Macaca mulatta: one gene and its partners. The protein of the gene in region 4 purifies or fractionates together with the protein of the main gene of each other region. This does not show direct contact. Links are inferred from orthologs where the notes say so. Each region holds a gene or a part of one and is shown on either strand. Other genes may lie near its edges.

Evidence for each region.
Region 1: the proteins of YWHAE (region 4) and MARK1 purify together in Homo sapiens (affinity purification with mass spectrometry; 3 studies listed by BioGRID and IntAct, with this or other methods). This does not show direct contact. The link is inferred for Macaca mulatta from reciprocal best matches to the Homo sapiens genes YWHAE and MARK1.
Region 2: the proteins of YWHAE (region 4) and KLC3 purify together in Homo sapiens (affinity purification with mass spectrometry; 3 studies listed by BioGRID and IntAct, with this or other methods). This does not show direct contact. The link is inferred for Macaca mulatta from reciprocal best matches to the Homo sapiens genes YWHAE and KLC3.
Region 3: the proteins of YWHAE (region 4) and EIF5 purify together in Homo sapiens (affinity purification with mass spectrometry; 3 studies listed by BioGRID and IntAct, with this or other methods). This does not show direct contact. The link is inferred for Macaca mulatta from reciprocal best matches to the Homo sapiens genes YWHAE and EIF5.
Region 5: the proteins of YWHAE (region 4) and FOXO3 purify together in Homo sapiens (affinity purification with mass spectrometry; 4 studies listed by BioGRID and IntAct, with this or other methods). This does not show direct contact. The link is inferred for Macaca mulatta from reciprocal best matches to the Homo sapiens genes YWHAE and FOXO3.
Region 6: the proteins of YWHAE (region 4) and FAM53C purify together in Homo sapiens (affinity purification with mass spectrometry; 3 studies listed by BioGRID and IntAct, with this or other methods). This does not show direct contact. The link is inferred for Macaca mulatta from reciprocal best matches to the Homo sapiens genes YWHAE and FAM53C.
Region 7: the proteins of YWHAE (region 4) and ATIC fractionate together in Homo sapiens (co-fractionation; 3 studies listed by BioGRID). This does not show direct contact. The link is inferred for Macaca mulatta from reciprocal best matches to the Homo sapiens genes YWHAE and ATIC.

What each region holds. Positions count from the first base shown.
Region 1 is NC_133406.1:78,453,310-78,456,809, reverse strand, and holds part of MARK1 (serine/threonine-protein kinase MARK1), read right to left. Parts: intron 509-3,500; coding exon 355-508; intron 49-354; coding exon 1-48. UniProt on the Homo sapiens protein: Serine/threonine-protein kinase. Involved in cell polarity and microtubule dynamics regulation. Phosphorylates DCX, MAP2 and MAP4. Phosphorylates the microtubule-associated protein MAPT/TAU.
Region 2 is NC_133424.1:57,866,622-57,870,676, reverse strand, and holds the start of KLC3 (kinesin light chain 3), read right to left. Parts: upstream 2,801-4,055; 5' UTR 2,726-2,800; coding exon 2,593-2,725; intron 2,257-2,592; coding exon 1,991-2,256; intron 1,251-1,990; coding exon 1,020-1,250; intron 729-1,019; coding exon 659-728; intron 235-658; coding exon 15-234; intron 1-14. UniProt on the Homo sapiens protein: Kinesin is a microtubule-associated force-producing protein that may play a role in organelle transport. Plays a role during spermiogenesis in the development of the sperm tail midpiece and in the normal function of spermatozoa.
Region 3 is NC_133412.1:176,739,776-176,743,827, forward strand, and holds the start of EIF5 (eukaryotic translation initiation factor 5), read left to right. Parts: upstream 1-1,252; 5' UTR 1,253-1,322; intron 1,323-1,459; exon of another isoform or gene 1,460-1,461; 5' UTR 1,462-1,670; exon of another isoform or gene 1,671-2,704; 5' UTR 2,705-2,912; coding exon 2,913-2,984; intron 2,985-3,087; coding exon 3,088-3,169; intron 3,170-3,720; coding exon 3,721-3,893; intron 3,894-4,052.
Region 4 is NC_133421.1:2,944,593-2,948,790, forward strand, and holds the start of YWHAE (14-3-3 protein epsilon), read right to left. Parts: upstream 2,801-4,198; 5' UTR 2,702-2,800; coding exon 2,638-2,701; intron 1-2,637. UniProt on the Homo sapiens protein: Adapter protein implicated in the regulation of a large spectrum of both general and specialized signaling pathways. Binds to a large number of partners, usually by recognition of a phosphoserine or phosphothreonine motif.
Region 5 is NC_133409.1:13,664,492-13,668,695, forward strand, and holds the start of FOXO3 (forkhead box protein O3), read left to right. Parts: upstream 1-1,404; 5' UTR 1,405-1,658; intron 1,659-2,729; 5' UTR 2,730-2,848; coding exon 2,849-3,466; intron 3,467-4,204. UniProt on the Homo sapiens protein: Transcriptional activator that recognizes and binds to the DNA sequence 5'-[AG]TAAA[TC]A-3' and regulates different processes, such as apoptosis and autophagy.
Region 6 is NC_133411.1:147,210,230-147,213,729, reverse strand, and holds part of FAM53C (protein FAM53C), read right to left. Parts: intron 3,142-3,500; coding exon 2,357-3,141; intron 942-2,356; coding exon 684-941; 3' UTR 1-683.
Region 7 is NC_133417.1:120,529,082-120,532,581, forward strand, and holds part of ATIC (bifunctional purine biosynthesis protein ATIC), read left to right. Parts: intron 1-1,833; coding exon 1,834-1,922; intron 1,923-2,887; coding exon 2,888-3,039; intron 3,040-3,500. UniProt on the Homo sapiens protein: Bifunctional enzyme that catalyzes the last two steps of purine biosynthesis.

The DNA of each region.
Region 1 (3,500 bases), on a different chromosome or scaffold from region 4:
CCTGAGCTCTTTTGGTATATGATACAGCAGGAGGAATGGATGGACCAGCTATAATTTAAAAAAAAAAAATAGCATAATGAGCTGAAAAACAACTGATTTATTTTCTGCTCACAAACAAAAACTCTGTATTAAAATTATCCACATTTGCATGCTTTAAACTCTGAACGAAGATTAAATTGTGATTTCAAAAATCAGGTCAGTCCCTGTAAAAGGGATTATATTTATAATTCAGTAATATAAGTCTGTGAGAACTAGATGACACAAGTACATAGATACGTGAATGTACAATGCTTTAAAAACACAAGTTTAGGTAGAACCCGTGTGTTGTTTCACTTATTTGACTTTTTCCCCTACCATGATCACTGAAACGCCGCTGCTTCTGATTTGCTGAGATACTTCTCTGGACCTTCAGGTGAGCAGGGGACTGAAGAGTGCTGTTGTTTAAGTCACTACTGGGCCGGGACCTCTGACACAAGTTTCCACTGGATAATGATTCACCACCTTCAAACTATAAGAAGAAAAACCACAAGGATTTTAAAGCAAAAAAAAAAAAAAAAAAAAAAAAAAAAAGTTTGCACAAATACTGCACTTTTGATTTTCTAAATGATTTAAAGTTATATAAGAAGTAATCCAAACTGAAAAAACAGTGTAGTATTGGGCCTAGAACTTTAAGTTGGCAAGCAGGAAAAGGAGTGAACTGGATAGAATATGCTTTAGTGACTACTCATAATCTTCTATTATCTTGTACAAATCCTTAGTTTAGTCAAAATACCAAAGAACAGCTACCAATTATTGAATGGTTATTATAGACTAGGCACTGTGCTAAGCTCTTTCTATATGTTACTTTATTTAATCATCACAACAAACCTATGATGTATTAACCTACACTTTACAGATGGAAAAACTGAGGTTAAAAAAGTTAAGGGGCATTATTGAGATTCAAACTTAAAATAAAATCTAAAATTTTAAATATACACACATGTATATACACATATGTATGCATATAAACATACATATAGATTTGTTTGTTTTGTTTTCTCCACATTTGCAAAAAAAAAAAAAAAATACAGTTTACTGTTTCTGATCAGGAAACCGTATCTACTTAGAACTCAGCATGGTAAACTGCGGGTTGACACACTATCCCTCTCTCTGTAACATACAAGTTGTTTGCTGCCAGCAAACTTTTGATGGCCTCACTGGCATCCCAATAGGAAATCTAAATTCATATACAGATAATACTAGTGATAAATCGCAGAGTAATACTGATGATGATAAACAGCTAATGCAGAGCACATAATAATCCGCTAGAAACTGTTCCGAGTTTTTAAGCCCATAATAATCCACTAGAAACTGTTCCGAGTTTATAAGTGCTCATTCATTTAACACTTTCAATGATCCTAAAAGATAAGCACTATTATTGCCCTCATTTTATAGATAAGAAAACTGAGGCACAGAAAATTAATTGCCTTAGTTGCACAGTTAGTGGTTGTGCTGGGATAGGGCAGGGGTTGGGGGGACTTAGATCCAGTGAAGCTGGCTCCAAAGTTCAGGCTCTTACTACTTACCAGTAGCCTCATCCATTTATATTTGATACAATTCACACTTCATTTAAATTCATGCATGGTACGGTTATATACTTATAAAATTAGTGCTTCTTTTATATTTAAATTAACAGGAAAATTAAAGACCTCAGGAGTGTACTTTAAAATCTAAGTAGAAACAGTTCAAAGCCTTTAGAAATAACCATTTGTACTATTTCCCACTTAAAATTCTCTTGACTTGGCTTCTTTGATACCACATCTCTAGCTGTTAATGTCTCCACTAAAGATTCTCTTCCATTATAATAGTACCCACCTGGTAGGTTCACTGGGAGGATTAGATTAATTAATATTTGCAAAGTCCTTAGAACAGTCCCTGGCACATTACTATGTGCAATGTGTTCCCCTCTAATGAAGACTCCAAATCTGTTAATTATTCAAATCTCTCCCCCTAATTCAGATCTATATATCCAAATGCCTAATAGACAGCTCCATCCAACAGAATCTCAAATTTAACCATCCCAAATTGAACTTCTTCTCTTCCCCCTGAAATCTGTACCTTTCCTATCTTGGCAAATGTGCTTGCACAGTCATCCATATTGGAAATCTCATGGGCTCTTATCTCTTATTTCTAACTGGTCCCCAAGTACTACTGTTAATTCTACTTCTTACATGTCACACAGACCTGCCTTGGTGGGTCTGACCTTAGCCTACTGTAGGTACATGTCCACCTATATGCTCCCAGAGTATGCTGTGCATCCCCCAAATGAGAACACATACTGTACCATACTATTAACTGCTCGCCTCACCTCTAGACCAAGGGCTCCTTGAGAGCAGAGACTTTCTCGTCTTTCTATTCACAGTACCCAGCATCGTTTCTGGTACAATAAAGGTTCAATATATGCCAGCTGGAATGCACTGCTCCATTAACAGTTACTATGGAATTATAAATAATTTCAGCTTTTTGTCTCTAAAATACCTCCCACAGATGTCTAATTTCCAATAAATTGTTAATGTCCTGCAATCTGTTCTTGACTCTCCATGTATAGCCTTTATATTTGTTTTGCTAAAGAATCATTTGCTTTTATGCTTCATGATACGGTTTGGACGCTCTGTCCCCTCCAAATCTCATGTTGAAGTGTGACCTCCAATGTTGGAGTGGGCCTAGAGGGAGGTATTTGAGTCAAGAAGGTGGACCCTTCATGAATGGCCTGGTGCTGTCCTCATGGTAACAAGCTCTCCCTCTTTGTGTTCACGCTAGATCTGGTTATTTAAAAGAGCGTGGCACCTCCCCCACCTCTCACCTGCTCCCTCTTGCCATGTGACATGCTGGCTCCCCCTCACCTTCCATCATGTCTGTAAGCTTCCTGAGGCTCTTATCAGAAGCAGATGCCAACACTATGCTTTGTGTACAGCCTGCAGTACTGTGAGTCAAATAAGCTTCTTTTCTTTATAAATTACCCAGTCTCAGGTACTTCTTTATAGCAATGCAAAACTGACTAACATAGTTCACCATTTGTATACAGTTATTTTCTGAGTATATCTCCTTATTATAGTTCTCCTGGCCTTGAGAATTCCCAACTGAAAGCATCAGTCACTTGACACTTTATAAGGCAAAATGTCATCACATAACCTTTCCTGGAGTTACCTCTTTTAACAATCCTTTAAGACATACATTTTATTTTAAATGCTATCACTTCCTCACGTTTCAGTCACTGTCTTTTCTGCACACCTGGAATAACCATATTACCTTTGGTGGGACTGTTACATTTGGATGCACAAGCTGTGGGGGAGGCCATTCTCAAAGGCTAGGCTGTGAATGGTGGCTCCTGGAGCTAAGAAAGACAGTAGGCCTATTCTTTCATAAAATCTGTCTTGGTACCCAGAAATAAAACCAGTTTGTAATTTAACATTGTGATTTTTGAGTTCCAACAAATAAGAATGTTAGAGTAGGATCTTTAT
Region 2 (4,055 bases), on a different chromosome or scaffold from region 4:
CGGCCGCATCTCACCGGTATACCAGTGCCAGGATGTTGAGCATGGTGGCCACGTCAGGGTGGCAGTGGCCCGAGCTGCGCTCCAGGTCCTCCAAGGCCTGGCGGCACAGGGGCACCGCCACCTCATACCGGCCCTGCCCCGCGTACTGGATCACGAGGTTATGCAGGGTCCGAAGGCGGGCAGGGATCTCATAGCCACCCTGCTGAGCTGCTGCTGCTCCTGCGGCCTCAGGACCTGGGTGGGGCAGGGTGGGCTCTGGGTCACTGCAAGCCTCCTAAGCCTCCTGCCCCTCCATCCTCGCACGAGGAGACACACGCCCCAGACTGCCTAACTGGCCCCTGGGACTATGGGCCCCCATGTTAACTTCTGAGATTGGAGTCACTAGCATCTAACCAGCTGGTGGGATGCATCCTGGCCTCGGGACAGGTACATGGCAGCTCACTTGCCCTGCAAGATGTGAATACGGGGCCTGCCGGGCTCATGGCAGCTACCCTGTCTTCGCAGCTCCCAGCCTCACCTGCTCACTGTCACATTCAGGGTCCTCCTGACCCTGCCCTCACCTCCCCATCCCTGTTCAGAGATTTTGGGGTTCTGCAGCTCAGAGCCCGCTCCCCACCCTGGCCCGCCATCATCTGTGGCATGTACTCCCGATACCCACCTTTCCTCTCCTCCTCCTCGCTGGGGAACAAGGAGGCCAGGCTGTCTCGGCGAGGCGGGGACTCAGACTGCTGCAGGGACAGGAAAGTGGGGGGCCGGGGGAGGGGGGCTTGTTTCAGAGACTGGAGCCCTGCATCTATCTCGGGGTTTGAGGGAGGTGGTGATCATGAGCGTCAGGGGCCCCCTGGGGGACTGGCGAGGCCCGGGGGCTTCGGGGAGCAGCTAGTGGGGGCGTCTGCGGAAGTTCTGGTGGGTCTGGGGGCTCTGTGGAGGGTTGGGGGACTGGGATTCTAAGGAGGGTCTGGGGAACCGTGGGGCTCTGTGAAGGGCCCAGCACCCCCACCTTGCCCTGCCCGTGGCACCTGGGTCTCCGTGGGCGGGTCGTACTGTCGCAGCTGCCCCAGGAACTCCAGGTGGCGCTTTTCCTCCTCCAACTGGGCCACGGCCTCCTCGCTGGCCCGAAGCCGCCGCTGTGTCTCCTCCAGTTCCTCCCGCAGCCACACGTTCTCCTGGGCCAGCCGCCGGGCCTGCGAGCGCAGCCGCTGCTTCTCTGCCTCCAGTGCACCCACGTGTGCCGACAAGGCCAGCAGCACCTGCCCAGGGTGTGGGTCCCAAGTCGAGGTTGGTTCCTACCCTGCCAGACAGCCTCTGACCCAGCTCAGACCTCGAATCAGGCCGCTGCACCCCACTACTATGTACGACACCCCCAGATTCTGCAGAGACTCCACCAGCGTGGCTCCAGTGCCCTCAGAGGCTCTAAGCAGCCCCTCTGATTTCACCCCTGAAGTTGCCCTAGGACCCACAGTTTACTGAAGAATGCCATCTGGTTCAGGGGTCCCTGTCACATACAAGGACCCCCTAGAACTGCCAAGGGACTCCATCTCTGGCCTGGAGCCTCACCTTCCCAGGCCTCGTTCCCCTAGGCTTCCGCCTGCCCCAGATATGCCTTTCTGCCATACTTTTTTTTGCTGTTTTTTGAAACAGTCTCTGTCACCCAGACTGGAGTGGAATGGCACGATCTCCACTCACTGCAACCTCCACCTCCCAGTTTCAAGTGATTCTCATGCCTCAGCCTCCCGAGTAGCTGGGATTACAGGAGCCTCATGCCCAGCTCATTTTTGTATTTTTAGTAGAGATGGGGTTTTGCCATGTTGGTCAGGCTGGTCTTGAACTCCTGACTTCAAGTGATCTGCCCACCTCAGCCTCCCAAAGTGTGCCCCTCAGCAATAGCGAACCCCTCTCCCAGTCCCCTGCATACCTGTCCCCCTCATATCTGGCCCTCCCTCCGCCCTCAGTTTATCCTCTCCCAGTTCCCCACCTGGCCCCCTCATACCTGGGCCTCGCCCAGCCCCAGCTCGATGGCCTCCAGCGAGTGGCTCACCACCTGCTGCTTTTCCTCCAGCATCTCCAAGCCAGTCACTGGGCCCTGTCCCGCCAGGGCCTCTGCCAGGTGCCCAGCCAGGCCACGGTGCTCTGCCCGCAGCGCCTCCAGCCCCTGGACCACTTGCCGCGTCTGCCGTACCAGCTCCTCAGGGCTCAGGCGCTCTGGGCCCAGCCCCGCACTTCCGGGAGCCACCACCTGCACAGACATTGCTGCTCCTGGGGTGCAATGGTGAGGGGTTTGGGAAATCATTGCCCAGGCCAGTCAGTTGGCCCCTACCCTCTATTCCCATAATGGCCATCAGGACCCCTAACTTCTCCCCATCTTGGCTCTTCCCTGCTCCACCCATCCTGGCCAGCCCTCTGCCTCCACACCGTCTCCATCCCAGTCTCCACACCCATCCCAGCCAGCTCTCATCTGGAACAGTCTAGTCTACCTTTGTCTGTCCTCCCAACCCAGGGTTCTGCCCGGGGGACAGTTCCCAAATCCTATGTGTAATTAACCAAGAGAGGGCAAACAGCTAGCCTGGGGTCCCCCATTTGCTCTCAGCTCACCTGGCCAGCCTTCCCCACCCCAAGGCCCCTGGATCCCCTGGCCCAGAGCTCCCGACCTGGGACCAGAGGCACCCTCCTCTGCCAGACGAGTGGGGCGGGGCGTGTGGAGGCGGCAGCCTCTGCGTGAGCTCATTCTTAGGGTGTTTTTGTTGGGAACCAGTCAGACCACTGGGGGTGGGTGGGGTAGGTGGGGTGGGAGGAGAGGGCTGAGGGGCCGGGGCCGGGGCCGGGGCCGGGGCCGGGGCCAGGGCCAGGGCCAGGGCCCGCGGAAGCCCAGGAGGCCTCTAGGCTGGGGGGAGTGAGGACGGGGCCATGTGTTGGCTCCCAGGCAGCAGATGGACCCTGGGGGAACAGGGGCTCTGCCCTCCTCCATCAGACAGGCTCAGCCAGCCCAGGGCCTGTTGGGACACACGTGTGATAGGTGTGGTCCAGGGATGTCACACTGGCCATGTGACAGCTGAGAGTCTGAAGCCCAGCTCATAGTGGGCGGGGGCCCCCCCTCTATGGGACTTCATGTGGTTGTATGTGGGTGACAGTCACAGAAACTTAGCTGGTGGTGACCCTGAGGTCCTCACAGACACACAAACACACTCCTCAGAAACACACCTCACACACCTGCACCCTCCCTTCTTAAATACACAATGCAACATACACATTTTCCTCTCCAAAATACAATTTGACACACACACGCACTCTCCCTTCTCTCCAATACAACATGGGGCCAGGTGTAGCGGCTCACACCTGTAATCCCAGCACTTTGGGAGGCCGAGGCGGGCAGATGACTTGAGGCCAGGAGTTTGAGACTAGCCTGGCCAACATGGTGAAACCCCGTCTCTACTAAAAATACAAAAAAAAAAAAAAATTAACCGGGGTGGTGGCACATGCCTGTAGTCCCAGCTACTCGGGAGGCTGAGGCAGAAGAATTGCTTGAACCCGGGAGGCGGAGGTTGCAGTAAGCCAAGGTCATGCCACTTGCAATCCAGCCTGGGCGGGCGACAGAGTGAGACTCCATTAAAAAAAAAAAACAAAAAAACCCACAATACACACACGCACCCTCCCAGAAATACAGTGACACATACACACACACTTCCTCATTAGAAACACAATGTAGCCGAGCATGGTGGCTCAAGCCTGTAATCCCAGCACTTTGGGAGGCCAAGACAGGCGGATCACGAGGTCAGGAGATCGAGACCATCCTGACTAACATGGTGAAACCCCGTCTCTACTAAAAAATACAAAAAACTAGCCGGGCGAGGTGGCAGGCGCCTGTAGTCCCAGCTACTCGGGAGGCTGAGCCAGGAGAATGGCGTGAACCCGGGAGGCGGAGCTTGCAGTGAGCTGAGATCCAGCCACTGCACTCCAGCCTGGGTGACAGAGCGAGACTCCGTCTCAAAAAAAAAAAAAAAAAAAAAAAAAGAAACACAATGTAGGCCAGGTGCGGTGGCTCACACCCGTACTCCCAG
Region 3 (4,052 bases), on a different chromosome or scaffold from region 4:
ACAGTCTCACTCTGTTGTCCAGGCTGGAGTGCAGTGGTGTGATCTCGGCTCACTGCAACCTGTGCCTCCCAGGTTCAAGGATTCTCCTGCCTCAGCCTCCCGAGTAGCTGGGATTACAAGCGCGCCACCACGCCCAGCTGATTTTTTGTATTTTTAGTAGAGACGGGGTTCCACCATATTGGCCAGGCTGGTCTCAAATTCCTGACCTCAGGTGATCCGCCCACCTCAGCCCTCCCAAAGTGCTGGAATTACAGACTTGAGCCACCGCGACCGGCCTAAATAATAATAATTTTCAACAGAATACATTGGAATCTCATTATAAACGCCTGCTCTGGGCTACGATTTGCCTGTCAAGGAATTCACAAGTCATAAACTGGAGGGGTGGACCCGAGGTGATGCCCACTAGGAGCAAGGTGACAGAGAAGCACGAAGCACAGCGCTTTTCAAGCCTGGGAGCGCAGGGAGGCCTTCACCAGAAGGTGGGAACCCACCACGAAGCGCCTTCAGGAGGCCCCGGGATTCCAAACCAATTAAGGGCCTGCTCTTCCGAAAACGGGAGGCGACGCGCTGAGCTAAGCGCGCAGGCTGGGGTGCGGGCCGGCACCGAGGCGGCGCGGTCTCGCGACCGCCCTGGGCAGTGACTGGCTCGTTCCGCCAGCGGCCAATCCACCCCGAGTCCAAAACAGAAGACAGCCCTGGGATGAAAGACCCAAGCCTGGGTTTAGGGTGGAAAAACAACTATTGCTCGAGGCCCGGAGACGGGCGTCCCGGGAGGACGGGGAAGGGAGACGAGCGCCCACCGCGGAGAGAACGCGGTAGGGTTCCTCTCCCCGAAGGTGGCGGCCGCAATAACACGGCCTCGAGAGCGGTTTCGAGGACGATGGCTCCTGCGTCCCGGGAGTCGCTGCGACGCCGCGGCCTGGCCCACACCCGGCGGGGGAGGAGACCAACCGCCATGTTCCCCGCAAAGCCCAAAGCGACAAGGCACGGAGCCCGGCACACCGGCCCCGCCACCAGGGACACTCCGGCTCTCGCGAGACCCGAACACTGCGACGCGAAGACCTCTGGGAAAAGCGGGGGGAAGGGAGAGGAAGGAAGCGGGGCCGGGGCTGGAGGCGGGCCGAAGCCGCGAGTGGAGCCTCAGGAAGCAGAAGGGGCGCGGAAGGACGCGATTGACGTCGCAAGCGAGCCAATGACGAGCGAACTGTGGCAGACCTCCAGCCAATGGGCAGTGAGGCCTGACGCGGGGGGCGGACGCTGGGGCCGAGGGTAGCTTGAGCGCGGCGGCGGCGTTGTTCAGTCAGAGCGAGAACATTCCAGAGGTGAGTCCGGTGGTGGGGCGGCGGCCCCGCGCCCCCTGCCCGGTGCTCCCCGCCCCCTCGACCCCGCGGGCCGCTGGCTGGCGGGGAAGGCGCACCCCCCGACCCGCCCGCGGCTCACGGCGCCGTCTCTCCGCGCCAGGTCGCCAGGCTCCGGCGCTGACGGGTGTGGACCGCGGACGTCGCTGGGACAGCCCCTCCCCGCTGCTCGGCGGCGGCACCTGGCCCGGCCGCTCCTCGCTGCGCTTCGCCTCCGCCTCCTTGGACTCGGACTCGGGTTTAAATCGCGCCTCTCTTCATCCCAGTCCCGGGCGAGCAGCGTTGGGTTTATGTCTTTATTTGACGAAAACGGTGAGTCGCGGGCGCGGCGGACCAGGAGATGGCGGCCGCACAAGATGGCGGCGGCCGCCGCGTGACCCCGCCGCGGCGTGTGGCGCAGTTTGGGCGGACGGCGGGCGGGCGCGGGCTCGGGCACCGGCCGCCCCCTCCCCGCGCGCTCCCCGGCCTGGCGTCGCCCCCTCCCCGGCCTGGCGGGAGCGCGTCGCGCGTGCCCGCCGCTCGGGCTGAGTCAGGCTTCAGCTGCTGCATTTGTGAGTCATCGCGCGCTCCTGGCGGGGGCGGCCCGAGCCCCGGCACCCCTCGGCTGGGTGTCGCTTCCCGGCTGCGCACCCTCCGGGGCCCGCCGGCTCCCGGGGGACGCGCTGGGGATGGGGCCAGACGCTCGGGTCGCGCGCCGCCCTCCTTCGCGGAGGTGTCCGGCTCGCCAGCCCCCGCGGAAACGCCTCGGAGCGCCGTAGCCATGGGGACCGGGTCGAAGGTTAACCGAGTGTTTGAATAGCGAGGAAAAGGGAGGCCGGGCCGAGCCTCCCTTGCTTAATGGCACTTTTGGGCGAGCACTGCTTCTAAGGAAGTGCTGCTTTGAAGTAAGCCATGGTTGCCGAAGCAACAATTAGTGGTAGAGAATAGTTTCCTAGTTACCCCTTAAAAATGATGGCGAAGGGGGGTGTGCCTGAGAAGTTTCCTGATCCAGGCCGGGTGGGGGCGGAGAGGGTTCGGGTTCGTTCTTCAGCACTTCTAGGATGGCCGCAGAGGCAAACCTGCTGATTGCTGTCGGTCTGATGGAAACTCACGGCGGCTGAGGCAGCGCAGCTTCTGTTTTCTTATCAGGCATTTCCCTACCAGAGTCACAGCTTAGTCGAAATGGAGGCCTTTTATGTTCCCGCAGGTTGTACTGTGTGACGTGAGAATGACTGCTTGTGATCTCAGATGGTTTTTAAAGTGGAATTAAGCAGAAGCATTACTAGGATGTAAAAGGAGGTGTTTCCATCCAGCGATGATGTTAAACCTGGGGGGATTTTTGTGTGTTCTTTCCCTTTCTTTTTCAGAGCTGTTGCGCAGCCATTGGTACCTGTATTGGGGAAACATAGCATACAAGCAAGAAGCTTACAGCCTCAGTGGCGAAAATTTTTTCATGTCAGAGACCGAGAACTCTTGCAGTCGTTTATGTCATCCCTTCTTCTCCAGACAGAAGATACCAAAAAGTTGCAATCAAAGATCTCTTCATCTTATTGATAAAGCCACTAATAAGCCAAAATGTCTGTCAATGTCAACCGCAGCGTGTCAGACCAGTTCTATCGCTACAAGATGCCCCGTCTGATTGCCAAGGTAATAAACTACTCTTCAATTTAGTTGATAACTCTTTTTGTAGAATTTTGGAGTTTGCATCTGTCAGGGGAAACTGCACAATTAAAATTCTTATTTCCTTTAGGTCGAGGGCAAAGGAAATGGAATCAAGACAGTTATAGTCAACATGGTTGACGTTGCAAAGGCGCTTAATCGGCCTCCAACGTGTAAGTAAATCTTGGAAAAGTTCATAAAGGGCATATTATGGGATAGAGACCTCAAAGTAGTTGAGCTGCAAAACTTGTTCTAATTGTATGCTGGCTAATTAGCTTGCAAGTTAGTGAGGTACCGTGGTTTATTGGTTGCCATGAGTTCACAAAACTACCAGGGGAACACATTTAATTAAAGTGGATGGCCGGGTGCGGTGGTTCACACCTGTAACCCCCAGCACTTTGGAAGGCTGAGGCAGGCGAATCACGAGGTCAGGAGTTCTAGACCAACCTAGCCAACATAGTGAAACGCTGAATCTACTAATAATACAAAAATTAGCCAGGCATGGTGGCATGCCCTGTAGTCCCAGCTGCTCAGGAGGCTGAGGCAGGAGAATCACTTGAACCCAGGAGGCCGAGGTTGTGGGGAGCTGAGACCATGCTGTTGCACTCCAGCCTGGGTGACAGACTCCATCTCAAAAAAAAAAAATAAAGTGTGGGTATAAATGTGGGTGAATAACCAAAGATTTAGTTAACTAACGATCCAAATTCCTCTTTCATTCAAATAGATCCCACCAAATATTTTGGTTGTGAGCTGGGAGCACAGACCCAGTTTGATGTTAAGAATGACCGTTACATTGTCAATGGATCTCATGAGGCGAATAAGCTGCAAGACATGTTGGATGGATTCATTAAAAAATTTGTTCTCTGTCCTGAATGTGAGAATCCTGAAACAGATTTGGTAAGTGCTTTTGTGGTTGTCAAAAGAAAAAGCCATATGCCTTTTGTTACCGTTAAGTCACCTTCGTGAGAAGGCAGCAAATATAAGTCAAAGACAAAATCTCCAGTTTTGGAGATATTTCTGTTCTTTTTTTTTAAAGTAGGTCACTGTGAAAAAAGT
Region 4 (4,198 bases):
GTCCTTTTCCTGAATACAGCTTAGCTCTTCCTCCCGTACCATTAAATAATCCATATAAATTGATTCCAACGCCCCAGGATAGAATTAAATGAGGGTACATGTAAGTTTAGGCATTAATTCAACACAGCAAGCAAAATAAAATAGGCCTACTGCAGTTAACAGAAAGATAAAAGAGCAGCTGGAAAACCAGCATTTGGGTACAAGTATCCAACAAAGAAATCCTGCTAATATACTGTCTTACCTTCTTCCACCACCGACACCTGCTAAATTCTGTTTGGTGACCAGGACTCCGGCAACACTTCGTCCCAGAAACAAAAAAATATTGCACTCAATAAAGGAATGGACACAGGCAGAGGACACAGGTAGAAATTCCTGGTGTCTGTCTCCTTCTCCTCCTCTCCTTTCTACTGAATCCCTACCATATGCCCCAAGTCACAGGAATAGCTCCTCACCTTGCAGATTCTATTTCCTTACCCCTTTAGATCCTGAAGGGGACACCTAACATTAACAACTGTAAGGATGTGGCTTTATCAGAGTCCTATGTTCAATAACCAGTAAGGGCTCTGGTCAGAAATCTTCACCACTCACATCAAAAATATAATTATCACTAACCTGTCATTTAATTGGAAACTACAATCATAAGCTTTCAAATCGGTTTTTTAAAGGAGCTTTCAAAAAAAAGACCTTCTCTCACATCCTTTCTAGTTATCACAGCAAGTTTACTCAGAGCTCCAATGCCCACAAAACAGAAAGCATTCAAGTATAATTTGTTTCCTCCCAAGAACACTAATAGATGAAGAGGGGAACATCTGGAGATGAGGAGCGGAGGAGGAGACTTCCAATACAAGCACATCTTTATCTGTTTGATTTTTAAACACTGAAATAAAGACAAAGCTGACCTTGAGCTGTACTTCCCCACCTAATCCCCCTCCCTCTCCCAACAGGAATCTTGTTCAATACAAATAGCAATTTAACAATTTACAAGACGAAATTTAGTTTAGTATTATTCCAAATTTGACTTCTAGAGGCCTTGTCTTATTTTCAAATCCCTGAATCCTCGTTTCTGATAAGGGGGAGTAGCCCTGAGGTTATCCACATGACTAAATCTGCATTTCCAGGAAAGCAACGGCCCTACATAACATTTTGAAATACAGGTAGCTTAATCAGGAAAAATCTAAGGATCAAAGATACTTGATTCCAACCATGTCTCATCCCACCCTACCACACAAAAGCATTAAAACCACAGGACCCACATACATGACTTTTCCTTTAATACTACAGTATCGCACAATTATAAATGTGAGGGTATTTCAAAAGGTGGACTGGGAGGGAGGACTAAGAATAAACTTCCTGACAATGACTAGACAGACACAATGGATATTTTGATAAAGTTATGAAAAAGGACTGGAGAACCCGTTATGGGCAAAGGAACAACGAACAAAGAGGAACTACTAAAATTTCTACATAAACCCATTTATTTGAAATGGAAAAAAAGAAAGCAACAGGATCTCCAACCTTCATAACTCAAAAACCCCAGCCTCAGCCGAGTGCCTGGAATAGGTTAAGCTCCCCCACGAAGTACAGACCAGCATTCCGAGCCTGCAGAGTCAACCAAAATACAGTGACTGAACACTATTGGAAATAACTTTATTTCAACAGGTCTTTCCATGTGTCATGATGGTGCGCACAAACTGTAAAGTCATCGTTTTTACAAACGGGTGGACTGAGGCTCGGGCCCTACAAAGGCTCGAACTCTCAGAGTCGTGGCCTCCTGGTCTCCTGCTTCTATCCATCAGAACCCACTGGTGATGCAGTCAGAGAAAGGTTACAGGAACTTCGAGGTCTCCCGTTTTAAGTCTGAGGAAAGGGGAGGGAGTGAGGGTTTTCTGGGCCTCCCCAGCAGGCGGCGAGGAGGAAAAGCCCCAAACCCCCTCACTACGAGGTGCCGGCCCACGGGAGAGAAACCCGATCGCAGCGTCGGCGCCTGCCACCGCCCCAGACGAACCGCAGTGATTCCCGCTCACCCCTCTCCCCCCACCATCACCCGGGACTGTCCCCCGCCTCAGGCCTGAGGAAGCCCATCGCTCTGAAGGCTTCTCCTTTGTGAGACTCCACGGCCGCCGCCCCACACGGGGCCTCCGGGGAAAAGCCACCGCCCCCACCCGCCATATTTCCCTGAAAGGCGCCCGCGCTACAGCTCCCGGTCTCCGCTCTCTCCCATGTGGCGGGTGCTGCTTCCCCCGTCACCGCACCCAATTGTTCTCCACATCCCAAGACCGTCCCAGAAGCTCCCCTGAGGGCTGCTCGTTCGGAGACAGCACCCGCCATCTCCTCCCCCTCCCCCGCCCCGAGACTCGCCCTCCCCCCAGCCGCCATTTTACAACCAACTCCTCCACCCCGTCTCCCCGGCCTCCCGGCCCGCGAGTTGTTTGCAGTTAAGGACGGCGAAGGGGTCACATTCCAAGGCATACAGCCTCCCATTGCCCCGGGAGCTCCCAGGCCATTTCCTGCTTCCCGAACCCAAGCCCCCGGGCCAGGCTCGCAGACGATGCCGCCATTTTGTCTCCTGTTCCCGGCCTCTGTGGGCGGCGGCAGAGGGTCCGAGAATTCCAGCCCCCCGCTGCCCCCCCAACTCACCGTCGTATCGCTCAGCCTGCTCGGCCAGCTTCGCCTGGTACACCAGATCCTCTCGATCATCCATAGCGGCAGCGGCTCCGGCAGGGTATGCGCGACGGATGGAAGCGGATAGTGTCTCCGACTCTCTCAGCCTCTCGCTCCGCGTCCGGGCAGCAAAAATGGCGGCGCCTCAATCCGGGACTTCCGCCTGCGCACGCGGACAACTGCTCAGCTCTATGGCAACCGCTCCCTGGCAACTGGCGCGGGGGGCGGGTCCTGGAACTCGACGCCCGAAGAGGCTGGAACCAGCGCAGGAGACGCTCCTCCTCCGTCGGCTCAGCGGGCGCCGGAGCCCAGAGGCGGGAACTGCGACTGCTGAGAGGGAGCGGCCCCCGGGGAACGGGAAGGGCTGAGGCGGGGCCGGCCGGGACTGCTCCTGAAAAAAGCCGGCGGGAGACCTGGGCCCGAGGCCCGACCTGCGGAAGAGAACGACGGAGGCGCTAACGGTTTCTGTCATGGCAGGTCTTACTCCCCGAAAGCAGCGGCTGTCACTACCGTGTCCTGGTTTCCTTTTGTGTTTTTGTTTTTTTTTTGAGACGGAGTTTCGCTCTTGTTCCCCAGGCTGGAGTGCAGTGGTGCGATCTCGGCTCAACACAACGTCTGCCTCCCGGGTTCAAGTGATTCTCCTGCCTCAGCCTCCCGAGTAGCTGGGATTTCAGGCGCCCGCCACCAAGCCCAGCTACCTTTTGTATTTTTAATAGAGACGGGGTTTCACCATGTTGGTCAGGCTGGTCTCGAACTGCCGACTTCAAGGTGATCCGCCCACCTCGGCCTCCCAAAGCGCTGGGATTACAGGAGTGAGCCACCGCGCCCGGCCCGCGTCCTGGGTTTCTCCGCCACTCCTGGTCATGGGCCCATTTCAGACACTTTTACACTCAGGGTAACGAACTGGGCCCTGGCCGGGTGCAGTGGCTCACACCTGTAACCCCAGCACCTTGGGAGGCCAAGGCGGGCGGATCACAAGGTCAGGAGTTCGAGACCAGCCTGGCCAACATAGTGAAACCCCGTCTCTACTAAAAATACAAAAAATTAGCTGGGCGTGGTGGTACATGGCTGTAATCCCAGCTACTCAGGAGGCTAAGTCAGGAGAATCTCTTGAACCCGGGAGGCAGAGGTTACAGTGAGCTGAGATCCCCCCATTGCACTCCAGCCCAGGCGACAGTGCGAGACTGTCTCAAAAGAAAAAAATATATATATATATACACAAAAATTCGCTGGGTGTGGTGGTGCACCCCTGTAATCCCAGCTGCTTGGGAGGCTGAGGCAGGAGAATCTCTTGAACCAGGGAGTCGGAGGGTGCAGTGAACCAAGATCACACCATTGCACACCAGCCTGGGCAACAAGAGCACAACTCCATCTCAAAAAAAAAAGAACTGGGTCCTGTTGTAGCCAGGGACAGGGGAGCTCCAGTTGTCAGGCATCAACTTTCCCCTCACACTGATCTTTTTCTTCTCCTCCTATTTAACCTTTTTTCCTCCCTAGGCCCACCATGAATAGGAGCAGGGAATTTGTTAGATGAGGA
Region 5 (4,204 bases), on a different chromosome or scaffold from region 4:
GCGAAGGATTGGTTTCTAGTGCGCCCTTTCCCTTTTTCCCTCTCCTCTCTCTCCTTCCTTAGAATTTTACTCGATTGTTTATTATTTGCTGGGGGGCGGGGGCGGGGGGCGGAGAGGGGCGTCTGGGGCCTGGAGACTGGTAGCCGCGGCCAGTAAGCACGCGGCGTGCCTTGACGAGTAAGCCGCGCAGCGAATGGCGACGCGGCGGAGAGCTCCGGGGTCACGCGCGTGTGGAGACGATGACATCATCTGTTTGTACGCGTCGAACTAGCTTGGTGCAGGGGCGGGGCCGCGCGTCACTTGAGTGACGGGAGCTGCGCAAAGCCCGGAGCCCGGAGGCGGCGGGGCGGGCTGGCTCCTGTGTACGCTGGGCTGGACCTTTTTGTATATGGGGTCGTTGAGGAGCCCGCTTCTAGACTCTGAGCTATCTCTGGTGACTTACAAGGATTTTTTAAAAAAAGATATTTATGAACTAGTGTCTAGACTTTTGGTGTGCATGTCGCGTGTAGTGCATTCGTAGAGTACAAATAAACGATTTGGGGCACGGATCGTAGAAAAAGGACTTGTGCAGATGTTTTTTGTTTAACCTAAAGGATACGTATTTTTTTTTAAAGTCAAAAATGCACACGTAGCGGTTTTGTCGTCATTTACAAATTAGATTAAAATTATTTCTCCTTCTCAATTGTTCGGAATCTGCTCTTGAATGTAGGACAGGGGTAAATTTGCATTTCTTCGGAGTTAGTTACACCTCTCCCCCGTTTGCCATGAAACACATGAAAAGTGAAACACGACTGTGGTCCACCGTCCGAGGCGAGAGATTCAGTGCAAACCTTTTGGTGCCTGATCGAATCTGTGAGCATCAGCTTATCGAAGTTGTGCAGGCGCCAACATCTTCGCCATTCAGTATTTCCACGCCGCGGTAAACCTTGCCATCCACGCCCAGCATCTCACCTCGGGTGTTACCTAGTGTCGGGTTCTAACAGGGAACCGGACACCTGGGCTGGCCCAGAGCCCGGCGGGCGGACGCGCAGGTCGGGGACCCTGGTACCAGGCGCCCTGCCCGGAGTCGGGGAGGCCACGCCGCTGCGCTCCTTGGAGCGTCGGAGGCTGTCGCTCCTGCAGCTCCCGCTTCTCTTTCCTCTCCCTCCTCTCCCGGGCCAACGCCGCGCTTTGTTGTCGTTGGGGCTCTCGGGAGGGAGGAGGAGCCCAGCGGGGACAGCAGCGGGAGCCCGCCGAATCCCGGCTCACGGCGCGCTCCCGGACACCCACGCCCGCAGCCCCGCGGAGCTGGCCCGCGCAGGCGCGCGCGAGCTCACACACGCGCACTCACACACACACGCCCGCCGCGCGCCCAGCCCGCCGCCCAGCCCTCCCCCTGGGCGGGGACCCGCCCGCCCGCCCGCCGTCAGCTTAGGTTGAGGCGCCCTGCGTGTGTCTATAACTTTGTGCTGCTGCTGCGGCCGCCCTGCTCGTGGAAGGGAGGAGGAGGAATGTGGAAGGCGGCGGCGCGCGAGCTGACAGGCGGTTCCTCGGGCGGGCTGCGGCGACGGCCCGAGCGCTCCTCCTTCGCCGAGGTTGCGCGCCCCCTCCTCGCCGTGCCCCGGGCCCGCGCGGGATCGTGCGTCGTCCCGCCGCGTCCCTGAAGGGAAGGAAGCGAGGTAGGCGCCGGAGCCGTGCAGCGGGCGGCCGCCTTCCCGGTGACTCCGGATCTGCTTCCGAGCTGGGCCGGGCGCTTCCCTTTCCCCTCCCCGAGCCGCGGTGTGCGCGCCCCCCTTCTCGCCCGCTAGTGTTTTTAAAGGACTCAAGGGAAGGGGGAAACTGTCAAGATGGCAGCAGCGGGAGCAAGGAGGTGATGAACATGCTGGTCCGGGTTTTCTAGCAGCCCGGGAGACTTGGCGCTTCCCGACCTGTTGGAAGATTTATGTTCCGACTCGCTCCCTCCCCCGGATCCCGACTGGGAAGGGGGCGGAGGGGACGACGTCCGCGAGAATGCAAACCACACAAAATCCCGAAGTGGCCGTCCCTGCCGGGCTCGACCCTCTGCGAACGCCCGCCGGGCTGCTCCTTCCCCTTCTTTCCGTGTTTCCTTTATTTTTTGGAAGTGACAAGGGCCCATCTGCGCCCAGACCCCCGTTCGCCCTCCGCCCCGCGGACGAAGAGAGGAGAGGGAGCTGCCCGCGCAGTCCCCGGGCTCGGGCCATTCGACCGGGTTAGGGGTGACGGGGGGTCGCGGAGGCAGCTGGGCCGGGAAAGGGGAGAAGAGCCGAAGACAGCACAGACTTGAGCGGCGGCGCCGCGGAAGGCACTAGAGCGGGCCCGAGCGAAACATAAACAAACGCACGCACGCCCGAGCTCGGGCTCTGACCGCCGCTCGGCTGCGCCAGCTCCGGCCGCTGCCCGCTTTAAAGGCGCGGCCGCCCCTCCCCCGGGCGCCCCTCCCCCTTCTCCCCGCCCCGCCGCCTAGCCCGGGAGGGACCTGCGGCGGGCCGCGGGGGGAGGGGGCTGCCCCGCGCGAGGCCGTCGATTCGCTCGCGGCTCCCCCGCGGCCTGGCCAGGGGGCGGTGTCTGCTGCGCCAGGTTCGCTGGCCGCACGTCTCCAGGTCCGCCTGTTCCTGGGAGGCGGGCGCGGCAAGGCTGGGAGGTAGTGGCGGCGGGCGAGGACTCGCCGAGGACTGCGCTCCGGCCCGGGATAACCAACTCTCCTTCTCTCTCCTCTGGTGCTTCCCCAGGCGGCGGCGGCGGCGCCCGGGAGCCGGAGCCTTCGCGGCGCCCACGTCCCTCCCCCGCCGCACCCCGCCCCGGCGCGAGAGGAGAGCGCGAGAGCCCCAGCCGCGGGCGGGCGGCGAAGATGGCAGAGGCACCGGCCTCCCCGGCCCCGCTCTCTCCGCTGGAAGTGGAGCTGGACCCGGAGTTCGAGCCCCAGAGCCGTCCGCGCTCCTGTACGTGGCCCCTGCAAAGGCCGGAGCTCCAAGCGAGCCCTGCTAAGCCCTCGGGGGAGACGGCCGCCGACTCCATGATCCCCGAGGAGGACGACGATGAAGACGACGAGGACGGCGGGGGACGGGCCGGCTCGGCCATGGCGATCGGCGGCGGCGGGAGCGGCACGCTGGGCTCCGGGCTGCTCCTTGAGGACTCGGCCCGGGTGCTGGCACCCGGAGGGCAAGACCCCGGGTCTGGGCCAGCCACCGCGGCGGGCGCTCTGAGCGGGGGTACACAGGCGCTGCTGCAGCCTCAGCAGCCGCTGCCACCGCCGCAGCCGGGGGCGGCTGGGGGCTCCGGGCAGCCGAGGAAATGCTCGTCGCGGCGGAACGCCTGGGGAAACCTGTCCTACGCGGACCTGATCACCCGCGCCATCGAAAGCTCCCCGGACAAACGGCTCACTCTGTCCCAGATCTACGAGTGGATGGTGCGTTGCGTGCCCTACTTCAAGGATAAGGGCGACAGCAACAGCTCTGCCGGCTGGAAGGTGCGTACCCACCCCGGGCTGGCGGCAGGACCCGCCGGGCCTCCTGCGCAGCGCGAGACGCGCCCTCGGATTCGTCGGAGCGCGCCTGCGGGCTCCAGGGCAAGGGGTTGGCAGGGGGAGCCTTCACTGTGAGGCTTTGGGTGTTCTCTTTGACTCCTGTAGCAGGGGCACCTGGGGACGGCCCGGAGGGGGGAAGGAGGCTCCCAGAGGCCTAGGGCATGGCCAGGTGAGGAGAGGGGGCAGGGGACGCCGGCGAGGGAAGGGCGAACGGACTGGAGTACATTTGCTGGATTCTCAGGACAGCGCCGAGAAGGTAGGTCTGCAGCCAACTTTGGAGTAGAGTTTACCGTAGTGGGGGTCTGATGCGGGCGCTGTAGGTGGAGTGAGAGGTGTGTGTGGGGGGGTGTTTGGGACGCAGTGTCCAGAGGAGGGGTTGGATGTGTGGTTTCCAGTCTGTCGCAGGAGCATGTTGTGTCGTCACTAGCTGAATCTTCGGGTCCAAGTTTCAGCTTGTGGGTGTTAACTCCTACAGGCACATCAATCCCATTAGAAAAAGTAGTGGTTGCAAACCTCTTCCTGGACGGCTTCCTTTCCTTGCCTGTATTGATACCTTTCCTTCTCAGAGATGTCGCTCCAGTAAATCTGCTTCTTACTAGCTGCTTCTGAAATGTTCTGGGGCCTCGAACCGGCCGATCTGGCCACCTCAATCCAGACTGGCTGCACCATCTGCTCCCGCCG
Region 6 (3,500 bases), on a different chromosome or scaffold from region 4:
TCACAGCACTTAAAACACCCTGCTGTGCCCCAAAATGAAATCCTTTGCAGAGTCGGTGATGCTATGGATTACAAGCCTGGTTCCAGAGCTATTTAGAAAAAAGGAAAACTTTGCGCCCTCCTCTTGACTCCTTGAGCAAACCCAACATCCTGTAAAAAACTCAAGATCCCGGGGGTATCATGATACTCTGCTGTTAAGGAGCAATTGCCTTCCTTCCCTAAGGCTACGCAAACACACCGTTCCACAAGTACACGCCCATGCACGCACACACTCTCACGCAGTTTCTCTGAGGAGGCTGACTCAACCCCCCACCCTGGCCAAATTCTAAGACACAAGTGCCCTTTGAAGCAAAGGGGCTAGTGAAATTCCCCGAGCTGGGGTCGGCAGACCCGTTCCTTCCCTGCCCATTGCTCTCTTCGTGGCAGGGATACTCACACTCAGGGCCGCCATGGGAAGGGTCTGCTCTGGGGCTGTCCCTCCCGCCACCAGCTCCGTTTATCTTGTCCCAGCCAGTCTCTCGGCATGGTCGAGCTTGCTGGAGCGAGAAGATTTCCGGCTGCCCTGAGTCGGAGCCCTCCACTCACCCCCATTCCCAGGCTTGGCCCCCAGCCTTGGGGCCTCGACACTTGTTAGTAGCCATGAGAGAGTCAGTCTGTGTGGCCCCAGGAAGTAGCCTCTCAGTTTTAGTTCTCCTCAATCAAATTCAAGTCCAGGTCCCCAAAGTCCTGCTGGCACAGTGTCCGCTTGCTCAGCGCCTGCCGACCCCACCGCACAGCCCCCTCCTCCTCCTCTTCGCTTTCACTCAGCACCTGGGAGGAACCCCCAGTGGGGCTGCAGGAAGCAGAGAGGGGTGGGGGGCTACAGGCCATGAACCACGGTGGAGAGATGCTGCTGCCTTCCCGGGCTGTTTCTTGGAGACAGAGACCTCCTGAGTATGGTTTCTGTCAAACAAACAAAGAAGACAGTTACACCTGAAGGCAAGAATTCTAAGGCTTTAGGGTAAGGTTTGTAAACATTCTTTTTTTTTTTTTTGAGACGGAGTCTCGCTTTGTCACCCAGGCTGGAATGCAGTGGCATGATCTTGGCTCACTGCAAGCTTCGCCTCCTGGGTTCACGCCATTCTCCTGCCTCAGCCTCCTGAGTAGCTGGGACTACAGGCACCCGCCACCATGCCCAGCTAATTTTTTGTATTTTTAGTAGAGACGGGGTTTCACCGTGTTAACCAGGATGGTCTCGATCTCCTGACTTCAAGATCTGCCCGCCTTGGCCTCCCAAAGTGCTGGGATTACAGGTGTGATTTGTAAACTTTCTGACAAAATTTGGCGCCCATTATTTCCATTGGATTCAAGAATAGAAGCTCTGTGAGGGCAAGAACATCATCTGCAGTGTTTCACTACTCTGTACTGCCAGTGCCTAGTCAGAGTCAGTAAATATTTGCAGATGGGATGGACGACTCTATGAAAAAGTTAAATCAATTCTTTTTTTTTTTTTTTTTTTGAGACGGAGTCTTGCTCTGTCGCCCAGGCTGGGGTGCAGTGGCCGGATCTCAGCTCACTGCAAGCTCCGCCTCCCAGGTTTAGGCCATTCTCCTACCTTAGCCTCCCGAGTAGCTGGGACTACAGGTGCCCGCCAACCCGCCTGGCTAGTTTTTTTGCATTTTTTAGTAGAGACGGGGTTTCACTGTGTTAGCCAGGATGGTCTCGATCTCCTGACCTTGTGATCTGCCCGTCTCGGCCACCCAAAGTGCTGGGATTACAGGCTTGAGCCACCGAGCCCGGCCTAAATCAATTCTTAAAGAGGTTTGTAACCCAGTGGTCTAGAAAGAATAATATGAAAAGAGTGAGCAAGTGCATACATACAATAACTATACTCAAACCAGGAAGTCAAAAAACATTGGTCTAACAAATGAATACACTGTAGCAGCCCATCTTGCTTCAGCCTTCACAGAACCACTTTGAAGCAGTGACAGGCAAGTGGCAAAACCAGCTTTGGGCACAAGGAGTAGGTACTGATGATGAAATTTTTTGCAGCTTATGCATTCTTGGAAAGGAGGGAAAGTACCTCTTGCAAGACAATTTGGGATCCCTGTTGGAAGGTTTAACATGGGTCTCACCCCAGTTTCTCTAACTCCCAGGATTAAGGCATTTCACAGGATGGGGGGACTTTCAGTACTAAAACTGGGACAGTCCCAGCCAAGCTGGGATGGTAGGTCACCCTGAGAGCTAAAGGAGGTGCTGTTGGTGGCGGAGGGGAGATGGGAGCGGCAGGGTAATGAAGCTAGGGGCTAGCTCAAAAGCGGAAACAGAACAGAGTCCCCACACTCCCATGCAAGCTCCTCTAGTCTTGTTGGTCCCACCTGATTCATCTTGTCAAAGTCCAAGGAAGGCCGCAGACGCCGGGGGTCCTCCTCGTGGCGCCGCTTGACCCCAGTTTTGCGGGCATCCAGATCACAAGGCTGTGAGCGGCTTCGGGGAAGGTTGCGGAGACCTCGAGGTCGCCAGGGCAGCTCTGGTGAGGATGCAGGAGAGCTCCGGGCAGAGGGCAAGAAGCGGCTTGCCTGCGGGCCCAGGCTGGGTGACAAGGAGAAGCGGCGCTGAGGTGGGCAAGGTGACAAGGACTCAGCATCACTCTCCCAGGAGCCACTTTGAGGGGAGGCAGCGCAGGGTCGAGAGGAATCTTGGGCCAGGGCCAGGCTGAAGAAAGGAGGGCTATAGGGTCTGTGGGCTGGGACACATTGAGAAGAGGCACTGGGAGCTTGGAGGAACCTGAGGCTGGAGACCCGCTTCGGGGGGCTCTGGTGAGGCACCTGCGGCCCACCCCCTCCACCACTGCCCCGGTGCTTGATGGGAGTCCACAGCTTGGAGGGGGCGGGCCGCCACACTGGCTGCCAGCGAGACAGGTCCACGGGCACTGAGAGTGAGCGGCAGTGCCTCTTGGATGGAGGGGCAGGGGGCACAGGAAGCTTCTCTGGGTCTGGGGGCTCAGGTCTTAGGACTTGGGAGAGGGGCTGCTCCTTGGGGGAGCTTCCCCGACTGGGTGGTCTGAGGTGCAGGCTCAGGCCTGAGGGATGGTAGCTGAAGTTGAGGCTGTCCTGGAACTCAGCACAGGAACAGTGGGGCAGGCCCCTCCAGGAAGCACCTTCTGGAAGGCATTTGTAATAAAAATAATATTAATGATAGCTTACATTTTTTAAGAACTTACCACGTGCCACACAATGTATGGAGCATTTTATGTGAAAATTTCCAAAAACTTTATGAGGTAGGTAGTATCATTATCATTATCTCCATTTCACAGATAAGAGAAATTCAGTAACTTTCCCAAAATCACACAGCAATCAAAAGACCAAAGGAGGGGCCGGGTGCGGTGGCTCAAGCCTGTAATCCCAGCACTTTGGGAGGCCGAGACGGGCGGATCACTAGGTCAGGAGATCGAGACCATCCTGGCGAACACGGTGAAACCCCGTCTCTACTAAAAAATACAAAAAAAAAAACTAGCCGGGC
Region 7 (3,500 bases), on a different chromosome or scaffold from region 4:
AGTCTGTGAACATGGGGTGTCTTTCTATTCATTTAGATTGTCTTTAATTTCTTTTAACATTGTCTTGTGAAGTAGAATTGTTTTCTTAATTTTTTTCTCATTCATTGCCAATGTATATTTTAATACAATTGAATTTTGTATATTGTTCATATATCCTGTGGCTTTGCTGCACTCATTTATTAGTGCTAAGAGGTTATTTTTGTGAATTTGGGATTTTCGGTATACTAGATGATATCATCTGCAAATGGAGATAACTTCACTGCTTTCTTTCCTGTCCTGATGCCTTTTATTTTCTTTTCTTTGCTAATTGCCCTGGCTAGAACTTCTAGTACAGTGTTCAGTAGAAGTGGTAAGAATGGATGTTATTGTTTTGTTCCTTTTCTTAAGACGGAGTTTTGCTCTTGTCACCCGAGTTGGAGTGCAGTTGCGTGATCTTGGCTCACTGACCTCCGCCTCCCGGGTTCAAGTGATTCTCCTGCTTCAGCCTCCCAAGTAACTGGGATTACAGGCGTGTGCCACCTTGCCCAGCTAATTTTGTATTGTTAGTAGAGACAGGGTTTCTCCATGTTGGTCAGGCTGGTCTTGAACTCCCAACCTCAGGTGATCTGCTCTCCTCAGCCTCCCAAAGTACTGGGATTACAGGTGTGTGCCACCTTGCCCGACTAATTTTTGTATTTTTAGTAGAGACAGGGTTTCACCATATTGACTAGGCTGGTCTCAGACTTCTGACCTCAGGTGATCCGCCTGGCTTGGCCTCCCAAAGTGCTGGGATTACATGCGTGAGCCACCGGCTTGGCCTCTTATCTTGTTTCTGAGTTTAGGGGAAAAGTATTTAGTCATTCACCATCAAGTATGATGTTAGCTGTGGGTTTTTCTTACACTTTGTCATGTTCAGTAAGTTCCCTTCTATTTTTAATTAGTTGAGTATTTTTATATGAATAGCTGAATTTTGTCATATCCTTTTTGTACATCTATTGAGATGATCAGGTGGTTTTTTGATTTTTCTAGATGCAGTTTGTTAGTGTTTTGTTGAGGGTTTTTGTGTGAAGGTACGTACCTAAGAGATACTGGTCTCTAGTTTTCTTGTGCCATTTGTCTGGTTTTAGTAGGAGGGCAGTAGACTTAATAAAGATGAGCTGCAAAGTGTTTCCCCTTCTCTTCTGTTCTTCTGTTTTTTGTTTTTTTGTTTTTAATTAGTTTTCAAGTTACGCTTGTTTCGCTAGGGAGCCTGCCCCCAGAGCTCCTCACACTACAGGTCTAGGAGTAGAACTGTACTTCACTGATTGTTAATTTTAGATTACTTCTGTATTTTAAATTATTCTTTTGGCATTCCTGTTACCATCATTTTTATGACCTCTCTGCACGCAAAACAAATGTTTCACCCTTAGAATGCTCTGATATTTTTCATCATTGTACCAATCCATTGGAAAAAGAATCTAAATTCTAATGTTCTGAATAATAGTGATCGCATTCCAAAATGTGGATGTTGTCTGTAATCTTGTACTTTATCCTTTTATTAAAATGTTTTATAAATGTTTGATGGCTTGGTGGTTCCGGGTAGCTAAGGTTACGCAAGCAGCAGCGTTGCAGTGTGACGTGGAGGGAGTACTGTGTATCCAGCACCTGCTGACTAAATTCCCTCTGCTCGACCCCAGCAGGACACCCTGACTTTTTAACACACTTGTTAGAACTCCAAAATGTCAGGCTCATAGTTTATATTTTAGTTCTGTATGGCTTTTGATAACGTTAATAGTACTGACTTGTCTTTTTCCTAGATAGCTGTAAACCACATGAGTGGAGTTTTTAATGACGCCAGATTCGTCTTTGTTTTAGAGTTGTTGCCTGCAATCTCTATCCCTTTGTGAAGACAGTGGCTTCTCCAGGTGTAACTGTTGAGGAGGCTGTGGAGCAAATTGACATTGGTAAGTCAGAAAAACCATTTTAGAAGACTGAGAGAGGAGAGAATTATTTAAATTTTAGTGAGATTTCATTTTGACTTTCATTACTGAGGAAATAGAAAATAACTGCTTCTGGATTGTGTTTTGGGATTACTATAATTCATTTATATTTTCTTTTTTCATTTATATTTTCTTTTTTTATTTTTTTTGAGACGGAGTCTGGCTCTGTTGCCCAAGCTGGAGGGCAGTGGCATGATCTCGGCTCACTGCAAGCTCCGCCTCCCGGGTTCACGCCATTCTCCTGCCTCAGTCCCCCGAGTAGCTGGAACTATAGGCGCCCGCCAGCATGCCCGGCTAATTTTTTGTAGTTTGTTTAGTAGAGATGGGGTTTCACCGTGTTAGCCAGGATGGTCTCTATCTCCTGACCTCGTGATCCGCCTGCCTTGGCCTCCCAAAGTGCTGGGATTACAGGCATGAGCCACTGCGCCCGGCCTCATTTATATTTTCTAAGCTATTTTTTGTGTGCAGAGATTCATCTGGGTAATTTTCCTGATTTTTTTTCTCTTTTTTTTTTTTTTTTTGAGACGGAGTCTTGCTTTGCCCCCCAGGCTGGAGTGCAGTGGTGCAATTTCGGCTCACTGCAACCTCTGCCTCCCAGGCTCAAGTGATTATCCTGCCTCAGCCTCCTGAGTAGCTGGGATTACAAGTGCACACCACCAAGCCCAGCTAATTTTTTTTTTTTATTTTTAGTAGAGACGGGGTTTTGCCATGTTGGCCAGGCTGGTCTCGAGCTCCTGACCTCAGGTGATCCATCTGCCTCAGCCTCCCAAAGTGCTGGGATTCCAGGCGTGAGCCACCGTGCCCAGCTTATTTTCCTGATTTTTAAGTCAAGAATTAAAATGGAAGTACATGCACAATGACTTTATTTCAAAGAGGTTCATAAGCTGATAGGGACATACAAAAATCATTATGTCTTTTGTTCTTCAAAGGTGGAGTAACCTTACTGAGAGCTGCAGCCAAAAACCATGCTCGAGTGACAGTAGTGTGTGAACCAGAGGACTATGTGGCAGTGTCCACGGAGATGCAGAGCTCCGAGAGTAAGGACACCTCCTTGGAGACTAGACGCCAGTTAGCTTTGAAGGTGGGATGCACTGTCATGATATTGTGAGTTATATCCATGGAGTGCAGCATTTGCCAGACCAGTCAGTATTCAATTCTTGGTAGATTGCATCACCTACCAAAGCTCTGCGTGGGGTTGCTGTCCTTTTGTTAAAAATTGAGAGACCAGCTATTACAGAGGTATTCTGTCACAAAGATTGAAAGAGGGCCGGCGCGGTGGTTCACACCTGCAATCCCAGCACTTTGGGAGGCCGAGGCTGGCAGATCACCTGAGATCAGGAGTTCGAGACCAGCCTGGCCAACGTGGTGAAACCCCGTCTCTACTAAAAATACAAAGATTAGCTGGGTGTGGTGGTGTATGCCTGTAATCCCAACTACTCGGGAGACTGAGGCAGGAGAATCGCTTGAACCCAGGAGGTGGAAGGTGCAGTGAGCCGAGATCACACCACTGCACTCTAGCCTGGGTGGCAGAGTGAGACTTTG